7 linked regions of the Xenopus tropicalis genome follow. The protein of the gene in region 4 interacts with the protein of the main gene of each other region in a pairwise test. Links are inferred from orthologs where the notes say so. Each region holds a gene or a part of one and is shown on either strand. Other genes may lie near its edges. The genes, in order: atp6v1d, golga1, rnf41, vps52, ppp1r18, aamp and mfap1.

What was found.
Region 1: the proteins of vps52 (region 4) and atp6v1d interact in binary tests that used the Homo sapiens proteins (3 or more experiments, as listed by UniProt). The two-hybrid records come from large-scale screens. The link is inferred for Xenopus tropicalis from reciprocal best matches to the Homo sapiens genes VPS52 and ATP6V1D.
Region 2: the proteins of vps52 (region 4) and golga1 interact in binary tests that used the Homo sapiens proteins (3 or more experiments, as listed by UniProt). The two-hybrid records come from large-scale screens. The link is inferred for Xenopus tropicalis from reciprocal best matches to the Homo sapiens genes VPS52 and GOLGA1.
Region 3: the proteins of vps52 (region 4) and rnf41 interact in binary tests that used the Homo sapiens proteins (3 or more experiments, as listed by UniProt). The link is inferred for Xenopus tropicalis from reciprocal best matches to the Homo sapiens genes VPS52 and RNF41.
Region 5: the proteins of vps52 (region 4) and ppp1r18 interact in binary tests that used the Homo sapiens proteins (3 or more experiments, as listed by UniProt). The two-hybrid records come from large-scale screens. The link is inferred for Xenopus tropicalis from reciprocal best matches to the Homo sapiens genes VPS52 and PPP1R18.
Region 6: the proteins of vps52 (region 4) and aamp interact in a two-hybrid assay, tested with the Homo sapiens proteins (2 studies listed by BioGRID and IntAct). The link is inferred for Xenopus tropicalis from reciprocal best matches to the Homo sapiens genes VPS52 and AAMP.
Region 7: the proteins of vps52 (region 4) and mfap1 interact in binary tests that used the Homo sapiens proteins (3 or more experiments, as listed by UniProt). The two-hybrid records come from large-scale screens. The link is inferred for Xenopus tropicalis from reciprocal best matches to the Homo sapiens genes VPS52 and MFAP1.

The regions. Positions count from the first base shown.
Region 1 is NC_030684.2:119,233,308-119,237,434, reverse strand, and holds the start of atp6v1d (V-type proton ATPase subunit D), read right to left. Parts: upstream 2,801-4,127; 5' UTR 2,783-2,800; coding exon 2,742-2,782; intron 1-2,741. UniProt on the Homo sapiens protein: Subunit of the V1 complex of vacuolar(H+)-ATPase (V-ATPase), a multisubunit enzyme composed of a peripheral complex (V1) that hydrolyzes ATP and a membrane integral complex (V0) that translocates protons.
Region 2 is NC_030684.2:28,208,733-28,212,933, reverse strand, and holds the start of golga1 (golgin subfamily A member 1), read right to left. Parts: upstream 2,801-4,201; 5' UTR 2,694-2,800; intron 2,655-2,693; exon of another isoform or gene 2,131-2,654; intron 2,083-2,130; exon of another isoform or gene 2,064-2,082; intron 1-2,063. UniProt on the Homo sapiens protein: Involved in vesicular trafficking at the Golgi apparatus level. Involved in endosome-to-Golgi trafficking. Mechanistically, captures transport vesicles arriving from endosomes via the protein TBC1D23.
Region 3 is NC_030678.2:137,450,486-137,453,985, forward strand, and holds part of rnf41 (E3 ubiquitin-protein ligase NRDP1), read left to right. Parts: intron 1-385; exon of another isoform or gene 386-583; coding exon of another isoform or gene 584-598; intron 599-1,608; exon of another isoform or gene 1,609-1,714; intron 1,715-3,235; coding exon 3,236-3,500. UniProt on the Homo sapiens protein: Acts as E3 ubiquitin-protein ligase and regulates the degradation of target proteins. Polyubiquitinates MYD88. Negatively regulates MYD88-dependent production of pro-inflammatory cytokines.
Region 4 is NC_030684.2:72,052,502-72,054,801, reverse strand, and holds the end of vps52 (vacuolar protein sorting-associated protein 52 homolog), read left to right. Parts: intron 1-32; coding exon 33-144; intron 145-230; coding exon 231-349; intron 350-430; coding exon 431-577; 3' UTR 578-1,800; downstream 1,801-2,300. UniProt on the Homo sapiens protein: Acts as a component of the GARP complex that is involved in retrograde transport from early and late endosomes to the trans-Golgi network (TGN).
Region 5 is NC_030684.2:75,522,123-75,526,274, reverse strand, and holds the start of ppp1r18 (phostensin), read left to right. Parts: upstream 1-1,352; 5' UTR 1,353-3,044; intron 3,045-3,086; exon of another isoform or gene 3,087-3,208; intron 3,209-3,730; exon of another isoform or gene 3,731-3,779; intron 3,780-4,152.
Region 6 is NC_030685.2:85,162,780-85,166,921, reverse strand, and holds the start of aamp (angio-associated migratory cell protein), read right to left. Parts: upstream 2,801-4,142; 5' UTR 2,780-2,800; intron 1,799-2,779; 5' UTR 1,759-1,798; coding exon 1,614-1,758; intron 278-1,613; coding exon 122-277; intron 1-121. Other genes in the region: uncharacterized protein LOC100488277, read left to right, coding at 3,188-3,242. UniProt on the Homo sapiens protein: Plays a role in angiogenesis and cell migration. In smooth muscle cell migration, may act through the RhoA pathway.
Region 7 is NC_030679.2:107,681,155-107,684,030, reverse strand, and holds the end of mfap1 (microfibrillar-associated protein 1), read left to right. Parts: intron 1-270; coding exon 271-379; intron 380-453; coding exon 454-614; intron 615-778; coding exon 779-938; intron 939-1,167; coding exon 1,168-1,257; intron 1,258-1,866; coding exon 1,867-2,046; 3' UTR 2,047-2,376; downstream 2,377-2,876. UniProt on the Homo sapiens protein: Involved in pre-mRNA splicing as a component of the spliceosome.

The sequences.
Region 1 (4,127 bases), about 47 Mb from region 4:
TTTGCACACACACAGGATAAGGAACCTCTGCCAAAATGTTTCTAAATGAACATCCTACATTGTGCCTGGGGGCTGCCATGTTTCTTGGCTCAGCTGAGGCATTCTGCATAGAGAGCAATAGCATTGCCACCATTGTTATACTCAGCGGGGGGTTATTATTGCAGCCTATGGAAAAGCACAGCAGCCAGGTGAACCAAACACTTTCCCTTGTCCCAATGTGACTGCTACCGGTTCCCTCCATCCCTTCCTTGCTGGAACCAAACCCGGGGCCAGTATATTCCTGCTTGGCTGCCAGGCAGTGTTGCCTAAACAGAGCGCTTGTTTACACTGAGCACCCGGACAAAAACTCAAAACTGGCCACATTCCTGGCAAGGAACATAATGATGTGTGGGGGCTGGGGGGGCAGTTCCCCCCCAAAGTGCAGGAGTCTCTGTCTCTTGAATAACAACAAATAGCATTTATATAGTGATAAAAGCTCCCTGTATTGTCAAACATAAGGATATTTTAAGGTCACGGAACTCCGAGGTGACGTCTAATATCCTCATATCTTACAAGAGGGGGTACATTATTAATTACAATACACAACTTTCAGCGAGTCGTGTGACAGAAATGACACCACTGAGCGCTGTTTGTATAGATGTAGTTCATAGGATATTCATGGCTCTTATTTATTCTACAGGTATAGGACCCGTTATCCAGAATGCTCAGGACCAATTGTATTCCGGAAAAGGGGTCTTTCCGTAATTTGAATCTCTATAACTTAAGTCTACAAAAAATCACTAAAACATTAATTAAACCCAATAGGATTGTTTTGCATCCAATAAGGATTAATTATATCTTAGTTGGGATCAACTACAAAGTACTGTTTTATTATTACAGAGAAAAAGAAAATCAGTTTTAAAATTTGAAATTATTTGATTAAAATGGAGTCTATGGGAGACGGGTTTTCTGTATTTCAGAGCTTTCTGGCTGGATAACAGGTTTCCGGATAAGGGATTCCCTACTTGTATATAATTTTAGTTATGTGACTATATAGCAGCGACGCTGAATTAGTATATATTAAAAGAGTGGCTTGTTTCAATAGTCAGAACCAGCAGTGCAAAGGACTGACTGAGAGAAATAATGGAAATGTGCAATAACTGTATATAGGGAAGAGGAAAAAAAAATATATATATATACACAGACATATTTACAGTATCCCCTTTCATCAGCAGAAAGGTCAGTGTGTGTAGTCACAACCTTCTCCCTGCCATTAGGGAACTACAAGTTTCAGGAAGTCACAGAGCAGGGAGGGGAACGTACAGGCTAAACACAGGCAAGTGAACTGTGTAACTGTGTGTAACTGTGTGAGTGTGTAACTGTGTGAGTGAGTGTGTAACTGTGTGAGTGAGTGTGTAACTGTGTGGGTGAGTGTGTAACTGTGTGGGTGAGTGTGTAACTGTGTGGGTGAGTGTGTAACTGTGTGGGTGAGTGTGTAACTGTGTGAGTGAGTGTGTAACTGTGTGAGTGAGTGTGTAACTGTGTGAGTGAGTGTGTAACTGTGTGGGTGAGTGTGTAACTGTGTGGGTGAGTGTGTAACTGTGTGAGTGAGTGTGTAACTGTGTGAGTGAGTGTGTAACTGTGTGAGTGAGTGTGTAACTGTGTGAGTGAGTGTGTAACTGTGTGAGTGAGTGTGTAACTGTGTGGGTGAGTGTGTAACTGTGTGGGTGAGTGTGTAACTGTGTGGGTGAGTGTGTAACTGTGTGGGTGAGTGTGTAACTGTGTGGGTGAGTGTGTAACTGTGTGGGTGAGTGTGTAACTGTGTGGGTGAGTGTGTAACTGTGTGGGTGAGTGTGTAACTGTGTGGGTGAGTGTGTAACTGTGTGGGTGAGTGTGTAACTGTGTGGGTGAGTGTGTAACTGTGCGTATATAGTGAGGCTGCCGCACTCCCCAGCCGACACAAGTGCATGGGTTTGGCTAGTACTATGCAGCCGGCTAGCAGCTCCCATATCCCCCAGCCTAACATGGGCTCACTAGCAGCAATGGCTGGGCGCTCAGGGGCAAGGGGTGCTGGTCCCCCCAAATGGAAAAGGGTGTATATCATTAATTAGGATGTCTCAGGCCTCTGCTGAACTGCATCTCCCACTATCCCACTGATGGCCTTTAGCTGCCATTGCATGTATGTATATCTTTATTTATAAAGTGCTACTTATGTACGCAGCGCTGTACAGTAGAATACATTAATACAAACGGGGTTATTAAAATAATAATAGATAAATACAAAGTATAACAATAAATACAGATAAATACAAGATACAGTTGCAATAAGTTAAGAGTCAAAGACACAGAGGATGGAGGTCCCTGCCCTGCAGAGCTTACAATCTATATATCCATTAAGGTAGTGGGAGTTGCTGAAGGGCCCCAGGTAACAGCTGAACCCTTACACAGAATGCTTTGCCTTTGCTGCTAGTATCTGTTCCTATCCCACCCTAAACCCAAGCCAGTGGGTGAATATCACACACACACATTTATCTATCTATTTTATATATATCTTTATACACTACAGGGATCCCCCCATCAACACATACCCCTATGAGCCATTTGCCTGCCTGTAACCCCACTGACAAATACCCCAAAAGATTATAACCAACAAGGGACATCTGTGGCTCTAGTTATTGCAGAACTACAGATCCCAGAATTCCACGCCAGCAGATGCCCAAGCCCCCGATCACGGGTATATCTGACCGTATCACCATACTTACATCCTGGAAGGGAACACCTCGATCCTGTCCTTGCCCGACATCTTGACCTGCGATCTGCTTCTCCCCTCACTGACACTCGGATTCCTGCGGCAGAACCAAGAAAGCGAGAGATTGTCACGTGATCCAGGAAGGGAGGGCGTGGTTCTGTCACCTGAACATCTCTCGTCATGTGATCCGCAGCAGACGGAAAAATGCTGCGCCTGCGCACGAAGAGCGTTTTGAACTGTATTAGCTTGTCAGACGTTTTATGGGTTTCTGCACCCACATCGGAATATTTTATTCGTATTCCTTTTTTAATATGATATGAGTTACACGAAACAACATTTTAAAGCGATAATGTTCCATCTTCAATATGGCGCCCTGTAACCTCCTAACCCCGTAATGGTAGCACCGACTTCCGCTTCCGGTGTCAGCGCTGTAGTTGTGGGGTTGCGCATGCGTGTTGTTCTTTGCCGGAACGCATGCTGATGAAATAGTGCGGCGTGAGCTGAAGGAGCCCGCCCGGTGCCAACGTTCTGTTTGATCGTAGGGAACATCAGCCAAGTAAGGCTCCGACTCATGTATCTGTTCTAATAGCCGCCTTGGCCGCTCTGCTGTGGAGCTTTAGCGGCGTGGAATCGCCCTTCTATAACTATCTGTACAGGCTAGCGCGGGACACTGGGAGTTGTGGTTCTACTGTAGTTGGATGGGAATTCCCTGCAGATTCCTGTAAAACGTGTTAAAGCGATCTACCCACCCTTATACAAACGTGCTATGGCTGCTGTATATGTACGGTGGGTAACATCTCGCCTTCTAGCTGTCCCAGAACCATCTCCCTGCTGGGGCCTTTGTTAAAGGGGAATTCTCCTTAAAAAAGAAAGTGTGTTTTCTATAATGAAAGATAATGTTCTGAGTAACTTAGTTTACATTCATTGCACATTGTCAGGAAACTTGAACTTATTGGGACATGTAACGGGAATTAAAGCAGTGTTTAGCCTTTACTGTTCTCTGGTTCTGACTGTAGGAACATTGTAGCAGAATTCAGTTCTCCTCTAGATTTGTTTACCTGTTGGCTTGTGCTACATTGTTTCAGGAGTCAGAGCCAGCAGTGCAGATTATATTGCTTTCAACCTGCTGACAGCCAGCTGTTGTTGAATCTGCAGCCCTCAGCAGTTGGTGGATGCTGGCACTTGAAGTACACAGAGGCCCAAACATCCCCAATAAATAGTAACTGGCTATTACAGGGGTCCCCAACCTTTCTTACTCGTGAGCCACAGTCAAATGTAAAAAGACTTGGAGAGCAACACAAGCACCATAAAAGTTCACGGAGGAGCCAAATAAGGGCCAAAACGTTAGTGGCCGATTGAACGATCTTTCATGCGACCAAAAGATCTGAAATCGCCACGT
Region 2 (4,201 bases), about 44 Mb from region 4:
CGGGGAGATTAGTCGCCCGTGAACAGGGAGATTTGTCGTGGGCGACTAATCTCCCCGTGTGCCAGAGCCCTAAAGCATTGCAGGGGCAACATGTCCTAATGATCCCTCAAGAACAACAACAGGAACTGATACCAAGGTGCCTCGCAGTGAAACATGACTGATCTAATCTTTCATACGTTAGAGTTAGCAGAAATTCAGATCCATTACATAGGGAAGCCTGAACGGCCCACAGGCTGCTCTGACACACAGAAATGACAGTCTTTCCAGCCAACAGGAACGAGCCACTGAAATCATAAAGGGGAAGGCTGACAGATCAGCTGTTAGGATTTCGTAACACAAATTGAGTGACTGGACGGAAACAAATGCATATACTACACACAAACTTTAAAGCATTTCAGGGAAATATGGAAAGCTTCAAGCAATCATTATTTGCAAACACAAATAACAAAAAAGAGGGACCACTAGCCATGCCAATCAAACATATAGCCATTCATCACTGTACTACAATTACCAGCATCCACTGCTAGCCTTCTTTCATTCTGGGTAACTATCCATATTGTGATCACTATATAAAAATGATACCTGGATGTTATTCAGATGCCTATGGCCCCTCTAGATCAATACCGGGGTATTGTGCATGCAACACTAAGGCTAGGGACCCATAAAGTTAGTCGCCTACAATACATTGCTGCTACCGCGTGCGACTACCCACTCCAAAATGCCTTTCCACCGACAACAATAGGAGTTGCCAGTAGAAAGGGCAATGCATCACTTTGGCTTTCCGAAGGCACTCAAAGTTGCCTGCAGAAGGAAACCTTGCGCAACTTCAGAAAGAGTCACTGGTGGAAACACATTTGGAACAGTTAGTCACTCGCAGTAGCAGTGATCTATCGTGACCAACTCTCTCCATGGGTCCTTAGCCTATGGCCAGTGACACACAAAGAGATTAGTTGCCCTGCGATTAATCTCCTCTAGCAGTGGCGAGTAATCTCCTCTAAATGTTTTCCTGCCAGTAGTAATTTACTTCAGCTTTCCGAAGTTGCCTCGCAAGGAAACCAAAAAAGAGTAAATATACATTCAGCTCACATTATAATAAATGGGAGATGAGATATTAATCAATGTAATAGAAAGATTCACAAACCATTGGTATTTTTAAAAGACAAAGAAAAATGGATTCATTGGGGAGAGCCAATATGTTAGATGTCCCTTTTTTTTTTTTTATCCCCAGGCTGGTGCTCCTTTTAGTTAAAACTGGAAAGTGGAGCACTACCATCCTACCTTACTGGCAGGAACTAGGGACACCTGGGGATGGTATATAAAACGGAAGCATAGTGCTCTCTTAGTTAGTTATTTAGTTAGTTATTTACTGGGGAGTGCATATTGGAACCACCCCTCAGAATTCATCTTTCTTTATCCTTTAAATTAAGTAGCAAACAACAGCAAATGCCTCTGTTTTCTTAGATAAAACTGCTTAAAGAAAAACTCTAATTGGATGCTATGGCCATAAGCTGGCTATACATTCAAAAAGAGAGTCAAACAATTAGATCAGCCCGATATTGTCCACCTCATCTCATAAAAAGAGTGGATCTTTCCCAGATATGCCCACCTTGAGGTCCGACTTGGCTGCCAGATCATTGCAACAAAAATGCGGGCCATCGTTGCAAGGACCGCAACCAGAAGCCGATGTGGTCTTTACCCTGATGAGATTTTTACAGCTGGCCAATCAAGATCTGGATGATTTTGGCCAGATATATGTCAGGCGGGCCCATCAGAGGGCCCCATACATGGGTCAACAATCTGCCTACTTGGTCCAGAAGGCTTTGCCCAGAAATTGGTAGTTCAGAATATCAGAAAAGTGTTGTCATCAGAAATATTGCCTTGTTTTCTCAGGCCAGTGGTAAGAGAAGTAAATGCCTGATCCCAAAAGGGAAGACTTTAGAGGTTTCTATGCTAAGTTCACCATTGCAACCCAAGAACAGCCTTATGGATCTGTTTCTCTAGCCATTGCTGAACTACAACTCCCAGTATGCAGCGGTCAGAAGCATGCAAAGGGTTCAAAGTACCTGTATGTTATCCTGGACACCAGACAGGTGCTGTTGCAAGGTCAGCGTATTAGTGTTTGTCTCATACCTTTCAAAACTGAAAAATACACCATCGCTGTAGCTCCACAACAGTTACATTCCATTAGTGTCCCTCTTTAATGATGATACCAGCATTTCAAGCGCTGCTCAGCAGATGTGGCCCATAATGTCAGGTGAGATGGATTCCAATTGGAGGGTTGTTGAAGAAGGCAGACAGCAGCTGTTGGCTTGGTCACAACAGCTGTTTAGGTCAAATGTGGTATCCTGGGATGTACCACTTAGCACAGGGGAGAACTTGCCAATAAACCCACTGCAGTTTCTAGTAGCACCAAACACAGGCCACTGTACTACCCCTATGTGCTGTATAAAGTGGCAAAGGGCAAATACAAGAAAAATGGAACATGGGGGGGAGAGAGTAGTTGTGAAAGGGGCAGCATGCCTTCCTATGCTTGTTTCCTATCACAATATCCCACTGGCTTGCATCTCCCTAGTAACATTAGAGTTCTGTCAAAGGGGTCGTAATATGCCTCGTCTCCTAGTACTATACGCCGCCTTTCTCTAAATGTACAGAGCCCTAGGAGGGAAAAAATGGGTTAGAATGGAAATTTTTACCTCTTACAAATGTTATAACATCACAGCTGAAAAGATATCCTATTTGCTCCGTGGCTAGGTTGAAACGAGAGCTGGGCGTGTTCTTTCATTCTTCCACAGGAAGTGGTCATAACTGTGAGTGACACCTCAGCTATGCCGCAGCAGCACAAGCCCCGCCCCCGTCCCTGTGCTCTCTGAGCCTGTTACAGCCTTGTCACATTGTTCTCTAAGCCTGTTACAGCCCTGTCACATTGTTCCTATTCATGGTGGCTGGAGCTGCAACTCTCCCCAAACACTACCATTGTGTACCATAATTATCCATTCGCTCACATTCCCTGGAGTATAACCTTTACTTGTGTATAACAGTCTCCTATGGAACATTCACCATCTATTGAGGCAGTGGCTCTTGTTGTCAGATAGCCACAACTCCCTTCAGTAATAAATTTGGGCTGTAAGTGTATGTAATGTAACTAGGAGACCCTCCTGATTGGTGATGTGTGGGTACATACCCAAAAAGTGGGGTTACTGGTGTGGGATCAGGCAGGTGGCTTTAGGGGGGCAGCCCTTGGGCACCTATATAATACAATTTTTTTTTTAAATAAATGAATAAAAAACCTCCCAAGCCACCAGATCGAACCAATTGAAATCCCTAGGGGTGAGGGGTACAGGCCAACTATAGGCAATGGAGTGACGTCACTTTGGAAGTGATGTCAACACGAGGGGCACATTTAGGTACGATGCCTAGGGTGGCACTGGATATGTAGCCCTGATATGCAGGTCACAAAAACTATGACCTGTGCCCAACCCTGACCTGCCCAAGATCAAGGAACCTTTCTTTGAACTGAACCAAAACCTGTAAGTGATGTCATGGAATGGAAGGGGCTCGCCACCAGTCCTAGACTGGCAATCTGTGGATTCTGGCAAATGCCAGAAGGGCCTTGGGGGCTGTTTGGGCCTCTGTGTACTTGAAAAGCCAGGGCCAATTTTGAATCCCAGTCCAAGCCTGTCTGCCACTGACATTACTAACAGCGAGGGCTTGCTAGTACGTAACAAGCATGTTCTCAAAGTGGCAGGTCGGGCAATAGCAAAAGCTGAGGCTAAACCTGTACCAACAATAGCATTTTGTGACCTGAACCCACTTAGGAAGTGGTCCTTCAGCTAGGCACTAGGTATAGGATCGCATGCACCTTCACAAAAAATTCAGCCTCAGGTGGTTGCCCCACTAGCCCATCAAGAACAAGAATTGCCAGGACCATTGGCTAGAAGTAGACAAGGACAACTGGAGGGCTTCTTTCTGATATGTCCTATAAAGACCATGTTTATTCTTCAGGTTAGGTTACCCCACCGATTGATGTTTTGGCAATAATCGGGCAGATGTCGATCAGACAGATTTGATTTTTCCATTGGATCGGAGACGGCATCAGCTCATTGAAATTGAAACAGCCCATTGTAATCAAGTTTGCCTGAAGTGGGCATATCAGAGAGATTTGTTTGTCTTAGCATGCATGGCCAGCTTTAGAGCAGTCGCT
Region 3 (3,500 bases), on a different chromosome or scaffold from region 4:
CAACCTGCATGGTTACGTTTCTTGGCAGGGTGTAGTGATATGGTACAGGTATAGGATCTGTTATCCAGAAAGCTCTGAATTGTGAGAAGGCAATATCCTGTAGGTTCCATTTTAAGGAAATGATTCTTATTTTTAAAATCGATTTTCTTTTTCTCTGTAGAAATAAAACAATGCCTTGTACTTGATCCAAACTAAGCTGCATAAATCCATATTGGTGGCAAAACAATTCTATTGATTTTATTCAATGTTTAGATAATTTTTAGCAGATTTAAGGTCTTGTGATCCAAATAAGGATTCCTTTATCCCTTATCTGTAAAGCCTTAGGTCTTGATCATTTTGGATAATAGATATACCTATATCTGTGTTTCCCTCATCTGGAGTGTAGGTGCCCTAAATAGAATGCTGTGACATGGACCTTTACACATGTACGTTTTACCCTGCATTCTGCCGAAGAAGAGTGCAGGAAAATACACAGCCCATTCTTCCCTGTCAGACTGTACTCATTCAGGCACGTGCAAGCACAGAGCGCAGATGGAATGCAACATGATGGCTGTGTGTAAAAGCCCTAAATGCTTTCTGGATAATGGGCTTCCTAAAGGTAGATTCCAAACCTATACAATCATACATGCATTCCTTCATCCACTACTCCTGTCATGAATTTGAATCTTAAAATTGAAGCAAAGCAAAAAATCAGGAATTTAGCTTGTGCTGCTTCAGGCGTTGTAACTGGCTGTTTTTCCCTTGTGCTGTGCATGCTTTCATGGTCCCTCCTCCCTACTGGAGCTTGACATCTGGTCTCCTAGATATCTGGCAGGAGTTGCCTATCAGAGGCATGTCCAATTGAATTCGATCTGGTCCTGACTTCAACTGTGCATTCTCCTGGTCAGCAACTGGAGGGATATGAAGTCAAGTGGCTGGACATGGCAGCCACCAAACCTGGGTGCTATCTAGGTATCCATCTATCGTCTGTTCTATTCAACCCAAATTTAAATCTTGACACTGCTGTTTTATACAGTAGGGGTGTTACAATATCCCTTCTTGTCCTTGGTGAATATGCTGATTTCAAAAGTTGAACGAAAGCCAGTGCTAGAGACAGAAGGTCCAAGTCTAAACAAAACACTATTTAAAAAAAAAAAAAAAAAAAAAAAGCTGTATTATAAATATTTCTCTTTATTGGCTGATGATATGCTTGTGCATGCAGCCCTTCACCAGAAATAAATAATCTGTACGCTAAGTAACAGATCAGCGTCTGGGAGTGTTCTGCAATTCTGCCAAGTGGGCACTTTAATGCCCCTGTGGGATATGTAAGTGCCGGTCACATGAACCAGCCTGCTTTCCTAATGCTTCTACTCTGCTTGTCTTGCACTGTCCCTAGATCTCATTCTGTCTTCCCTCCTCCAAGAGCCAGGGAAACTTGTTCCGTTGAGCTTCTACTTTCCAAGGTAACACTAAAATGTGAATCAAGCAGTGTAGATCCTGTGCTTGGACAATTCTACTTGTATTCTAGTGTAGCTGCAGTTTGTGCACTTGTTGCCAACTCAGTAAGCCGTATATGTACCTCTGTAACTCTTATGTTTCTTTAAGGACATTTATTGTCTGCCTCCTCTGCCACAAGGTGAATTATGAGAGGTTTGCTGATAGTCCACTTCCTAGACCTTAATCCCTGCTGCCACCATGCTACCTTTATCTGTTGCTGAACTACAGTTTATTGAGGGTTTGTTACGCTATTTCCCTGTGTACCTTTTTATTTGCCAATTTAATCTTGTCTGTTATGCCAAGATAGTATATTAGCTTATATTATTTTTTTTTTTCATTTCTATTTTATTGTTTTGAGTGTTTTTTTTTTTTAACTATTTGTATGAATAGTTTATCATTTGTAAAATTAGCTTAAACTAAGTTTATATGTAGACCAGCTACTAACATGACCAATGCTAGACCATTTATATACGATGACAAATGTATGCTATGTTAAGGGATTTGGAATACTAAACCTTTTTTTAGGCTTTTGCTTTTGCTATTTATTTTTTTACTTATCATATATTTGTGTTGATTGAAGCTTTTTAGTTTACATAACGTTATAGTCAGTTGGTAGGGAAACTAAACACAGCATATGAAGTCATTTATTGTGCCTTCAAGTACAATGGAAGCTCTGGGGTACAAGTTTTTTAGGTACCGAGTAACTTTAATCACTAACTTTAATCACTAACTCCATACCCAGGGCCACCTTTCCACGTCTTCAAAAATTGCTGCCTGGTGAATTTTATGGTAGGGTGGGCAGCCACCTTCTTTCCAAAACTTTCCCAAATGTTTGTGCACATGTGCCATGCCTGACCTGGTGTAGAGAATTGCTGTGAATAAGCTGGCTCCCCACCGCCATAAACTGCCCTGACTAGTGCACCAATGAGTTACTGAAGGGGGTTTAACAAGTTATTTTCCCTCCAGTGACTTTACCTTTCTTTGTCTTTTGTGTACTTGTAATCTGTATGTTTGATGTATTTGCACTTATATTGTATCACCCAGGGATGTGTAATATTCTACAAGTGCTACAACTCATACCACTAACAGAGAGTGGTTCATTGTAGGACAGTCAGGGCAGCCTTGCTCTTCAAGGAATAGAAAGTAAGACTTCGGTATTGCAGGTCATTTTCTACATTGTCATTTTATGTACAGGTATGAGACCTGTTATCCAGAATGCTTGGGGCCTGGGGATTTCTGGATAAGGACTCTTTCTGTAATTCAGATCTCTATACCTTAAGTCTACTGAAAAATGATTTGAACATCAGAACCACAATTTGATTGTTTTGTATCCAATAAGGATTAGTTTTATCTTTTGTTTGGATCAAATACAAGGCACTGTTTTATTACAAAGAAAAGGAAATAATTTTTTTTAATTTGATTAAAATGGAGTCTATGGGAGATTGCTTTCCCATAATATGGAGCTTTCTGGGTAACGGGTTTCTGGGTAACTGATCTCATACCTGTATGTAGTTAGTAAGATGACCATATATTAAGTATATGTAGTTGGTAAGATGGTATGTCAGAGGTAAGTGTTGGGTGATAGATTTATTGTCCTATGTTCTTTAATTATGGTAATGTGTTGTGTTGTTCATTATATCTACCTTATAAGGCCACAAACTTATTCCTAAAAATCTTTTGTAAATGTGGATTATATTGTATCCAAACTCATTTGCTTTTAAACAAGATATACTTATTTATGCATGTCTTCAACTTGCAGGCTCCTCACTGCGAGCACGCATTCTGCAATGCTTGCATTACCCAGTGGTTCTCTCAGCAACAAACCTGTCCTGTCGACCGCAGTGTTGTGACTGTCGCCCATTTACGACCAGTTCCCCGCATCATGCGGAATATGCTATCAAAGTTGCAAATTACATGTGACAACGCAGTTTTTGGCTGTACCACCATTGTGCGACTTGACAACCTCATGTCTCACCTTAGTGACTGTGAACATAATCCAAAGCGACCGGTGACATGTGAGCAGG
Region 4 (2,300 bases):
TGATTTTGTCCTTGTACTGTTTAAAATGCCAGGAGTTTATTGAAGAGATACTCGCTCCATCATTTGGAGGAATGATTGCATTTGTCAAGGAGTCAGAATCTCTAATTGAGAAGGGACAGCAGGAACGACTCAGAAGTGAAGAGGGTACAGGATGTTTGTATTTTAACAAGTCTTACTATTTGTTTTTATTGTCACTCACTGCATAAAGTAACGGTCTGAATTTCTTGTAGCACGTGTTGCTCAGCTTGTACGGGGGTTCTCATCAACATGGAAACAAGCAGTGGAGAATCTGAGTCAGGATGTTATGAGGTCATTTACCAACTTTAAGAATGGAACTAGCATTATACAAGTAAGGGAATTAGGAAGGGCTATTTAAGAGAGACCTTTATTTGGGTTCTTCCTTTTATTCTAACTCTCTCCATTTTTACAGGGTGCATTAACACAGCTGATCCAGTATTATCACCGCTTCCATAAGATACTCTCCCAGCCGCCACTCAGGAATCTGCCTGTATGCTCAGAATTAATAAACCTGCATCACCTAATGGTTGAGCTCAAAAAACATAAGCCTAATTTCTGAACCCAAGAAGGTAGAAGTAGGAAGTATCATAAAACTGATTCTGTTACCTGTGTATATAACACTAATCTGAGATGCATCAAGTGATGTAAATTTCTTAACAATGAAAGAGCAAGTGCTTTTGCCTTGCTAAGTCAGTAAGATACCTGTACCAACAGGTAAACAGGTAGCTCCACCAAATGTTTGAGTTTAAATATATTTAATGGCATTCTCTTCCTATGCTTAACTATTGCTTGTAAAATCATGCCAGAACTAAATGTATGGGTAAAATAAAGTTTACTACTGGTAACAAATCTTGGATAAATATGTATAGTTTTATGTAGTCTCACAGCATGAAGAAAATGTATAATTTCCTGTGCAGTCATTTGAATGTTATTGCAGCTTATCCATTCCCCGGGGACAGTGAGGTGCTAATGAGCAATAGCTGAAACAGGCCTGTGCAGATTGAGAACACTAGCTTAGCTAGTAGAAAGTACAGGGGTAATACATTCTAAATGCATAGGGGTTTTAATGTAAAATGCCACAACTTAAAGGAAGATGCAGTTGCAAGTCCTTTGTGGACACGATAACACATTCGTTGTAAAGGAGTTATGTTCTTTACTAGAAGCAATAACAGACAAGGGTTCCAAAGTGCTATGGCTACATTTTTATACCTGTATATATATATCTACACACATCTTTGTTTTAAATTATCCACACAGTTTAAGCAAAAATAGATACAAACCAGTATTAAAAGCCACATTTACTAAAATGTTACAAAAGAAAACGTTGCTCTGTGTCAAGAGCAATTAACATACAATACAAAGATTTAGAGTTCCCTCCATCGCTTTCTATTAACATTTAAGTGCAAGTAAGGCTTAAGAGAAACATCTGAGACCCAATTATGTAGCTTATGTTTGAGATAGTTCCAATAAGCCTATAAAGACACCAGAGCACTCTCTCTGCCAGTCAATATGTATGTCACAAGAAAGTCTTGCAGGCTCTTTAAACACAGTATCTAAACGAAGGCTGTTTTACTACACTGGAATGTTACATGCATGTTATCCAATCCCCACTCTAATAATATATCTTTTAAAAGAGTAAGGAAGAGATCTAAAGTACTAGCCCTCCAACAGCTACCTGTATGGATGTCCATACTGAATGTCATTCTTTTAAAAGAGATTAAAGGACATGTCAACCCCAAAAATAATTTTTTGCTTAATTAAAGAAAACTTAATTCTTAGCAACTTTGCAATATACACGCATTACATATTTGCAATGGGTTTCTAGTTATTTGTATGTATATATATATTTGCTATTAAAAGAACTGTCTGCCTGTCCTTTCTATTATCTGCTCTGGTCGCTCTGGCATTTGAAACAATGTAACAAAACACCAGCAGATTTTACAGACCTGACTTGCTGGAGGAGCCCGGCACTTGCAACATTGTTTAAAAAGTAACAACCAGGAGTTCAGCAAATGCTGCTTTCTATAGAAATTACATTTACTAATAACTTTTAATAAGTTGATATTAAAAAGTTGCTTGGAATTATGTTTTCTTTTATTAGGCAAAAAAATTATTTTTTTAGTAGGAATACCCCTTGTTAAACATGGATGCAATGAATAGGGCTTAAGTTTAACATACTTTTTCTCTATTGTTTTTAATATGGTTTTTGCCCCCTGTTCTATACAGGATAACTGAAACTACTTGTTTGGTCCTTGTAAGGTAGCAGATTACCAGTGTAACAG
Region 5 (4,152 bases), about 3.5 Mb from region 4:
TGGCAAAGTAATGTCCAACTTGGCACTTATTCATTGAGTGCTGTAAAGTCGAGCATCAAATGTCCTACATACAAGGACACTGCTACCGTCGGGCAAGGTGAGAATCTTGACTCGGGTGGCAGTTGCCCTGCACCAGGGCTGGCAAAAAAAATTTGCTCCTGGTATCTTTAAGAGCTGAAATTCTGGTTATTAAAGGAATACTGTCATGATTTTTATGGTGTACTTTTTATTTCTAAATTACACTGTTTACATAGCGCATAATCCACTCTTACCAGTTAAAATTTTATTCTTGAACCAACAAATGTTTTGGGGTTTTTTTTTATTGTAATATTGATGTGTAGGCAGCCATCTCAGTGCATTGTGCCGGAGTCTGAGCTTTTAGAAGGAGCCAGTGCTACACATTAGAACTGCTTTCAGGTAACCTATTGTTTCTTTTACTCCCATGTAACTGGAGGAGTCTCAAGCTGGACTTGGATTTCTTACTATTGAGTGTTATTCTGATATCTACTGGGAGCTGCTATCTTGCTACCTTCCCATTGTTCTGATGATCAGCTGCTGGGAGTGGGATGATATCACTCCAAGTTGCAGCTCAGCTGTAAAGTGTGACCGAAGTTTATCAGTGCACAGGTCACATGGCTGTAGCACCCTGGGAAATTAAGAATATGGCTAGCCCCATGTGAAATTTTAAAATTAAATATAAAAAAAAAAATCCTGTATTTTTAAAAAATGGATTACAATGCAGGATTCAGCTGGAGAAGTTTCATTAACATGCATTTTGAAAAAAAAAAACATGGTTCCTCATGACAGCATTTCTTTAAACTACAAATTTGGCTTAATTCTAGTATAGAGTGCGGTTGTGCCAGTTGGACAGCACTGATGTACACAATGCCTATTGATCTGGTTAAGGGAAGAGTACTGCAGCTAATAGCAATGACCATAGCTTTATCTATATCTATACACAGGAATGTTAACTGGCTCCTTTATAAAACTGATCATAGTGTGTGTGAATGTGATAGGGACCCTAGATTGTAAGCTTCAAAAGGGGCAGGGCCTGATGCAAAAGTATATAATATAGTATGTAATCTCTGTAAAGTACAAGTATGGGACCTGTTATACAGAATGCTCGTAGTTTTCCAGATAAGAGATCTTTCCACAATTTAGATTTCCATACCTTAAATCGACTAAAAAAGGTACTTGTATTGATTGTATTGTGTCCAATAAGAATTAATTATATCTTAGTTGGGATGAAGTACAAGGTACTGTTTTATTACTACAGAGAAAAAGGAAATCATTTAAAAAAAAAATAGAATTATTTTCTTATAATGGAGTCTATGGGTGGTGGGCTTCCTGTATTTCAGAACTTTCAAAATAAAAAGATTTCCAAATATCGCATTCCATAAATGTACTGCAAAATAGGTCAGCGCTATATAACTACAGGATAAAAATACTTGGAGTAAGAAGTATGTTCAGATTGTGATGGATTATATTTTCCCTAAATAGGATTGCTAAAAACCTTGTAGCATGGCGCACAAGCCCAAATGCATTATGCTGAATGATCAGGTTATACACAAAATAAATGCCAATGGCTAAGGCTATGATCACATGTAGCTGTTTTTTGGGCTGCATACTGGGTCAGACTGGGTTGTGCAGGGCCCATTAGTTTGCCGCCCCAGGGGCCTCAGCAGTGGCCTCCACACCCCCTCCAGGGGCACCACAGACCAACTCCATCCCTCCCAAGTGTGCTTACATTATACCTCAACACGATCAGGGAAAGGAGATCATGTCTGGGTCGTGGAAGCCCACAGAGTTAGTCCAACTCTGGCTGCATATAAATGCAGATGCAAGTAGCAGCTCAACCACTCAAATCAGCCTGGTCTGGTATCTGTGCTAATAAGCACTGCTTCAGCCTGTGTACAGTCACAGAGCAGATTTCAGTGTGAAAATGCATATTGACACTTTTCTGTGCTGAAATTCACTTTGTGTGCAGGTGAGTGGTTCATCTGTTTCTTGGCCTGCATTTATACACAGACCAAAAACCAGCTTTGTGTAACTGTTGCCTATGGTTCAGTTTCTTATACTTTGTGTGGCTTTCTAGTGTTCAGTCTGTAAATTCACCCTAACCACGCATAACTGAAGCACTCTGCATTAAGTTTTACATATGTATTGTATTGTGTTGTGTCCGTCCATATAAATAGTATAAAATATAATACATGAGGTAGCTCTTATTTCATGCACAATTTGCCTTAGTAGTATGTTATTAAACTCAAAACAAACATCCAAAAAGCTAAAACTTCTTACTGTTTAGGATATTTATGTTAAAGCATAAATAATCTGTCATGTGCTGTTGCTTAGTATTTTTTTCCATTAGTCCCATCCTGTCCCCCACTGTTGTGTGTACGTTGTACTGATTTAGTATCTTGAGTATAAAAAATACAGAATGTCTGTGTGTGTCTTGTAGTGGATATTTAAGAGCAGTCTTTGCTTTTTTTCACAATAGGGCATTAAAATGATTTTTTAAAAACTAAAAATCCCAGCATTTTCTTAAAACAAAGCCCATTTGCCTTACCGATGTCAATAGAAAAAAGTACAGTGCTATGTAAGGGTTAACTTGTCTGTAGTATCTCCCCCCACCATCCTTCCTCTCTCCACCCTCCCCCTTTACTCTTAGCATTATGCATAGCTGGAACCTCACCCTCCACCCCCCTCTCTCCTTCTGTCTGATTCAATCCCTTCTTCCTACACACCCTTCTCTTTCACTCTCTGGGAATTCCTCTCCAATGCAAAGGTTGCCCAAGCTATAAGTCCCTAGTCTTTACATTGTACATCTGTATTTGCTTTAAGGGTCTGAAGGAATTGGGCTCACTTGAAGACGTGTGACGCTTTGGGACTTTCCACAGAGAAACGCTACATATTCTTATGTTTTTGGGTTTAAGTTTAACAAAGGAAACTGCTCCAGACATCAGTTCACTTCTCCTAACATCAAGGCATCCTGCTGGGCTATAGGATGTATTAGAGGGGATTGTGCCTGCTTACTCACAATAAAGGTATGTAACATATCTGACTATATCCTGTGGGTTTCTGCATGTCATTTCATATGTGCATACAAGTACAATGAGATCACTTTTGCGCACTCTCACTTCATATCTTCCACCAACTTGTCCTCTATTCTATTTCTTTGGTGCCACTATAAAGTGTGATTCCCACTCTAGTAAGTATTTTTTGAGAGAAGAACATACTCTGATTTACCTTTTGTTTAAATCCTCACCAATCGCTACAACACAGGTTATGCAGTATATTTTCATACTTTAGTGTTATTTGTGCGATAATATACAGTCTCCTACATACATACATAGACAAACAAATATATAGACTTAACATCCTTCTCACTGTTTAAATCTATTTTACTCGGTGCATAGAAAGTACTGCTGTGTATGCAGCTGCCTATTTTTTTGCTTTTGTCTTTACCTTCCATGAATCTCCTAAACCTTAGCGATGTACATCTCCTCCGTTTTCTGTAGAACTGTCAGTGCATCTCCCTCTTTCCTGTTTGCCCACTCATCTCTTGCAGGCATGTCTGAATTATTTGTATCTAGTTCTCCTATTTTGCTTTTTCTCCCTTTTCAGAATGTATGTTTTACATTTCTTTGTCTGGTTCAGCAGTATGGCTATCTGTCAGTCTAGACAATTCCATCCTCCTCATTTTAATTTGGTTGCTCCAATTGTTCCACAGATCTGTATCTGAAGAGTTTCCCAACTTGAAGACCAGACAATTATAATCTGTAAGATTTTGTTTGTACCATGAGAAAAACAGATGTATAAAGGTTGATACTAAACAGTTTTAAATTTTAATTCAAAATTGTAATGCCTTATACTGAAAATACTTTCAGAACCTTAGTTACATTATCTAGACCCTTATTTTGTATAAAACATTGCAGAATTGTTTTGTCCATACATTTAATTAAGCCCTCTAACAGTGTATTTCAGCCTTTTCTTACCCCCATGCTTATTTCTCTTTTTATTCTGCGTATCCTCTTTCTCTTCCTCTTTCTCTTCCTCTCTAATGAACTCTACACATGCTTCTTTATATGTCATTTGACTTTTTAAGTGTAACTTTCTTTTTTAGCTGTATGAAATTATTTTCCTGTCATTACT
Region 6 (4,142 bases), on a different chromosome or scaffold from region 4:
ATGTGATCCAAGTCATACTACAAGCACAGACTTGGCTTATCTTTATACACCATTGGCACCCCCTTGTGTTGGCTTATAATGCACTCTATTTGCCCCTTGAGAGGACACTGCCAGGTCTCACCTGTATGTTTGGAGAATGTCAGCTCACTGTCGTCATGGGGGTCCGTTCCTTCTTCCACTCCCTCATCCTCTGTCTCCCATTCCTCATTATCAGCCATTTCCCCATCTTCAGGATCATCTGCAAAGTCGACGTCCTCCATGTCGCTGGCCAAATCATCTGGGCAAGACAGACAGTCAGCAGGGCATTAACCTCTCCATAACAACATATACATTTCTACAAGAAGGGTCAGGCATGTACCCTGCATATAGAATTATAATCTTTCCTGTTTCAGAACAATAATGCCCCATGTACAATGCCAGGTCCATATAGAATGGGTTTGCGGACAAGTGGAGGACACAGACTGCACAGAGCTCTGACCTCAACCAATTGATTTGGAACCCAAACTGTGAGCCCGGCCTGATCCCCAACATTACTGCCCAACCTCACTAACGCTCTTATGGCTGAATGGGAGCAACTCCCAGCAACACTGTTCCACCATCTAGTGGGAACCTTCCCAGAAGGGCAGGGGCAGTTATAGCAGCAATGGGAGGGGCAACCCAACTGAACCCCTGTGGGATGAATTGGAACCCCAACTGTGAGCCTGATCCCCAACATCACTGCCCAACCTCACTAATGGGAGCAACTCCCAGCAACACTGTTCCAACATCTAGTGGGAACCTTTCCAGAAGGGCAGGGGCAGTTATAGCAGCAAGGGGAGGGGCAACCCAACTGAACCCCTGTGGAATGGAACCCCGACTGTGAGCCTGATCCCCAACATCAGTGCCCAACCTCACTAATGCTCTTGTGGCTGAATGGGAGCAACTCCCAGCAACACTGTTCCAACATCTAGTGGGAACCTTCCCAGAAGGGTAGGGGCAGTTATAGCAGCAAAGGGGCAACTTCATATTAATGCTCTTGGTTTAGGAATTTAATGTGGGACAAGCAGGTGTAGATACGTTTGCCCATGTAGTGTCACAGCTGGGTTGTCAGAACCAGACACACCAGGAGCTGGCTTGGGGGTTCTTATAACGCCCAGTCTATTTGTAAAAATAGTTTAATAGTTACCACTTTATTCCCCTCTCCCAATCTAAGAGCATGGTATGGTCCACACAGAAAGGAAACCAAAGACCCTTGTTGCTTGCATTAATAGTGTGCAATACATTGTGTGTCTTCATATTAAGGAGACAGCGAATCCAGGATTTGGTTCAGGTTTTGGCAAAGATTCTGCCTTTTTCAGCAGGATTCTGATTTGGCCGAATGCAGGTGTCTGGCCAAACCCAAATCCTTGCAGCTTAGGATTCGGTACGATATTTGGACAAATCTTTCAAAAAGGATTCAGCCAAACCCAAAAATAATGGATTTGGTGCATCTACTACTTTATATAAAAGTCACAAGGTACAGGGTTCACCCAAAATTGTGCGCCTATGCCAAACATAATGGGCACGGCTGGAACTCTGCGCAGTATCTGGATACGTAGGGGGGGTTTCAAGGAATACGAATCAATCAGAGATACCTGGATCTGGTTCTACGTCGTTCAGCTCCAGCACCTCAATGATCTCCTCATCCTCGTGAAACTGTGCAGCTTGCGCCTGGGCTTCTTCGGCCTCAGGGCTGGGAGACCCAGAACCTCCAGCCTCCCCGGCTCCGGCTCCTTCCATCGTCTTCTGAGGATTGGGACACAGGGCGATGCTGTGATCTCTACAGGGGAGATTAGAAATCCTGGGAAATCACTACTCAGGAACAGTTCCTCTTAACTTGCAATAAATCTTTCCCTTTAAAGGCTCCCTCTCCGTTCCCAAGATATCACTGGGTTACGGGCACAGCCTTACCAACGCTGGCATAACAGCAATCAGCAGCGGAGACAGCAGCCTTGAAGGGAAATATTTATTAAATAGCTAACAGCGCCAGTAGCAGGTCTCTCTGGCAATAAATCTGGAGAACATACATGTACATACAGTGTCGGACTGGCCCACCAGGATACCAGGAAAACTCCCGGGGTGCCCAGGTGTCAGTGGGCCCCCCTGCTCCTGCCCATTTGGCCTGTTTCATGGCCATTCCCTATTTCTGAATGGGAAGATAGAGGGGAAATAGATGGAAGAATAGATGCTAGCATGTAAATAAAGGAGACTAGGAGAATAGAGAGGTTGGGTGAGGAAAGGAGGAAAAATAGTTTGGAAAGTAGGCCTAGGGTCTAAGGTTTCCTGGTGGGGCCCTGGGGTCCCAGTCCCACACTGGGTACATAAGGGGAATAAACTTAAAGAGCTATAAATTCATTACACAATTTGTAACTGTAATTGCTATTTAAAAGAGCGGCCTGCTTATCTTCTCTGCACTGTTGGTTGTGACTCCTGCAGCAATGTAGCAGAAGCCAGCAGTGCATAATGGCCAATACATGTACAGATAACACACAGCCATTGGACATCTGTATATAATCTGTATATAATCTGTATATAATCTGTATATAATCTGTTGCATTGGTTCCTTTAGGCTGAATACTCAGGATTGCTGTTTAATGGGGAGACCTGTAGCCCAGGGGCCCTCAGGGACTTAGTAAAGTCACCCCAACATCACTTTCCTGGACCGTAGGAAGCAAAAGGCACAGATGGGAAAGGAGGGCCCCAAGGAGCTGATCTGCCCTCCGACACTTCCCCACACACGCCCACCAGTCACACTTTGTACCTTTACTTTGCAACCGGTTACCGTAGCGATACCCCAGAGCAGGCGTTCCCTCCAGCAGGCGGTCCCTCCGGCAGGCCAAGTCTCACACACACGTGGGAACCCCTCCTCAGCCCTGCGCTTCCGCACAACCAAACTTGTTCCATCAGCTGCTGGAAAGCAGCGACGCGCAGCCAATAGGAAGTGAGCACTGCGGCTCTAAGCCAATCCAGTGCCCCGCGTATCCTAGCATGGGAGTGTGACCGCTCAGCAAGGAGAACATAAACAAGGCTTACTGCGCAGGCGCGTACTAGTGCATGCCGGACATGGAAGTTTTCTAACACGTCAAATTCTGCGCGGGAACTACTACACCCAGAATGCCTTGCGCCTGTCAGGATGTAACCGTGACGCGCCTGGTTACAAACAGGCAATATGGCGGCGGCCGTGAGAGGGATGTTGGGGTCAGTGAGAAGAGGGAAGCCGTGGGGTAAGATTGAAGGTTTCCTGTTTCCTGTTTAGGGAAGGGGCACTCTCTGGGGATGCTGGGAAATGTTGTTTATTAACTGGACAGATATTGGCAGTGGGTTCCAGACATAGCCGGTCAGGGTTTGCTTTAGTGTAGGGCAGAGGCTCCCAGCTTCATAGGGACCCGGGGGTAAATAATATTTAATTTACTGTTTTATAATCCTAATGTTAATAACAAGGATGTGTATCCTGCAGCCCTCCTGTTGGTGGGAGTTGTAGTTCAACCACAGCTGGAAAGGTAGGGCTTCCTGTCACCCAGTCACCCAGTCACCCAGTCACCCAGTCACCCAGTCACCCAGTCACCCAGTCACCCATCCCTCCTCAGTCCCCTCCCCTGTCTTATAAACTGCGGGGCCTCCAATAGGGGCTGTTTTGGTGCCCCCCCCCCCCCCCCCCCCCCCCCACAGGATTCCAGGGCTGGGTGGGCAAATAGCCCCTGTCTCTCACTCTGTGACTGATGGGTAACCCCGCCCTTTCACCTCTCTTGTTCCATTGGCCCCCAACATTTCATGGCACAATGTGGCCCCCCAAGCGCTAGGCCCTGACACCCCAAGCATACTATATACAGTGTGAGACAGGGATTATTGGCCCCCAAGCGCTAGGCCCTGACACCCCAAGCATACTATATACAGTGTGAGACAGGGATTATTGGCCCCCAAGCGCTGGTACTGACACCCCAAGCATACTATATACAGTGTGAGACAGGGATTATTGGCCCCCAAGCGCTGGTACTGACACCCCAAGCATACTATATACAGTGTGAGACAGGGATTATTGGCCCCCAAGCGCTGGGCACTGACACCCCAAGCATACTATATACAGTGTGAGACAGGGATTATTGGCCCCCAAGCGCTGGTACTGA
Region 7 (2,876 bases), on a different chromosome or scaffold from region 4:
GTTTCCAAGGTTACAAATTAAAGGGGCAGTATCTGTTTTTTTTTTGGGAGGGGGTAGTCTCCCCTGCTCCCCTGCATTTTATCTCAGCATCTTTGCTCTTATTTTCTTGTGACCCACCTGCATTATGCAGCTGCAGGCTGAAAAAAAAATATCTTTAATGTATTTGGGACATTTAAAATTATAGCAACTGTGATTTTCCATATATGAAATGGCTCTCTGCTTGATGTTAAATACCAAAGGGCTTACAGTATGTTGCTGTAACCATTTCAGGAAAGACAGAGTTACTGTGCAGGAAAAAGAAGCTGAGGCGCTTAAACAGAAGGAGCTGGAGGCAGAGACAAAACGAATGGCAGAGGAGAGAAGGAAATACACCTTGAAGGTAAGTATTTGTCTTGATGCAGTGGTAGTTTTGTTAGAACTTTCTGCTTCCTCACTGCAATATTTCATGTACAGATTGTAGAGGAGGAAACAAAGAAGGAGATTGAAGAGAATAAGCGATCCCTGGCAGCCCTTGATGCCCTCAACACAGATGATGAGAATGATGAAGAGGAATATGAAGCCTGGAAAGTAAGAGAGTTAAAGCGCATCAAGCGAGACCGAGAAGAAAGAGAGGCGTAAGTATTTCTATCCCGACTCTATGGATAAAGTCATACTGTACGGCTCATTTACTGCTTGCCATGGTTTCTTTACACTTTGGATAATACTGATAACTTTCACAGTTTACCTGGACTTGTGTGCCTAAAGTTAAATGTTATTTTGTTTATGTGTCATGTAACAGGATGGAGAAGGAAAAGGCAGAGGTTGATCGTCTGCGTAACATGACAGATGAGGAAAGACGGGCAGAGCTGCGTGCAAACGGCAAAATAATAACCAACAAGGCACTGAAGGGGAAATACAAATTTCTGCAAAAATATTACCACAGAGGTGCATTCTTCATGGTAAGAACTATTTAACTAATTTACCCATTCTATATTCATTCCTGTGGGATTTTTAAAAGAGTAAATGTTAGAATTCACCATTTGATAAATTTGCTTCTAAAAATCTGATATTATGGAAATTGGTGAATTTTTCTGTGGTGAGCTCGGTACTCTCACATTTTGATAAATTTTGATGAATTTTACAGAAGCTTATTTTACAGAAAGCTTTGTCTTTTTTTTCCCCCCATAGGATGGAGATGAAGATGTATATAAAAGGGATTTCAGTGCACCCACCTTGGAGGATCATTTTAATAAGACTATATTGCCCAAGGTCATGCAGGTAATTGCAAGAATGTTGCCGTTTCTTACTTTTTTTTGCTCTGCCTGAATTCTAAAGTATTAGATTGATTCCCTGTTTTACTGGGCCACACAAAAATGTGTATTATCACAGTATAGGAGGGATACTGGATGTGATTAGGAAGGTGGTAGTGAACAATGAAGAGTTAGCAAAGTCTAAAACTGCCAGCCATCAGTAACACTGTTATAAAATATATGCAGGAGGGAAAACATTATGCATTCACCCCTTAATGTTTCCATTACATAAATACAATGGAATATTTTTCCAAAAGCAAGAAACTGAAGTGTTTGTTTTCTAGTGATTCTATATATAAAGCAAACAAAATTGCTTGGGAGATGTTAGTCAACTGGAAATTATGGAGCAAAATGGTTATAAATATTAAACTGTCCTTTTTTGTCAAAATTTTCATTTCCAGTAGCTGTGAAATCCTCTGCTAGTCCCCACACAATAGCCCAATATATCTTAAACATGTCCTTAATTTGCACTGGCTACAATTTACTTATGCCATTTATGTTGGGTTCATAGCATGGAAGATTTTAATCTGTGGTTTTCCAATCCAGTTCATAAATTGATATCATCTGTTTTATTCAGGTCAAGAATTTTGGACGTTCAGGTCGGACAAAATATACTCACTTGGTTGATCAGGACACCACTTCATTTGACTCTGCTTGGGGTCAGGACAATCCACAGAACACAAAGTTCTTCAAACAGAAGGCAGCAGGAGTAAGGGATGTGTTTGAGAGGCCGACTGTGCAGAAAAGAAAGACATAAATGTCCGTGTCTATGAGGGACTTGTCCATATTTTCTGGGTTATAAAAAGAACTGCAGCTCATAAACAAGGACCACCATTACTTGCACATACTCTGTATATATAATTTGCAAGTAATGTAATGTTTTTTTTTTTAATGTGTGAATGAATTGTTGGGTTTGTCATTAGCAAATCACAAAGCATTCTCCAAGCTGTGGAGAAACAGAGATTTTCACAGTTTTTTCAAAAATGTTATAAAAGGTATTTTTTAGTTAGAATCATTTTGACATTCAGGAACACTGAAACCGAGGCAAGATTTGATAATATTTGTAAATAAAAAAGTTACTCTGTCATATCTCCTAACGATTTTTGTATGCCCCTCTATCAATCCTGTGAAATAATTGTTTTGCTTGTACAGTAATGAAAGCCACTGGTCCATTTTCTCATGTCCAGCATTCAGCATCTTGTGTGGATTGGTCTGATGTACAGGTATCTGTCTATGCAAGACCTTTTATTGTCCCACATGCTATCTGCTGACTGGAAAGTAAGCACAGTACAAGTGACAAAGAGTTGCCTGGGTACGTAGTTTTATAATGAAAAGTGAATTTGGGTTGGCTTCATGCATTATAGTTACATGGTCAGTCATATACAGATCTGCTGTTAAACTTTTTGGGGCAAAATATCTGAAATTTTGAAAATCTTTCCACCCAGGCATATAGTCAATAATATTATTATTTATTTTTAACATTTATTTAAAACACGCCAACATATTCTGCAGTGCTGTACAATAAGTGGGTTTCATACATTGGACACACAGAGTAACATATAAAGCAATCATGAGTCCCTGTCTCAG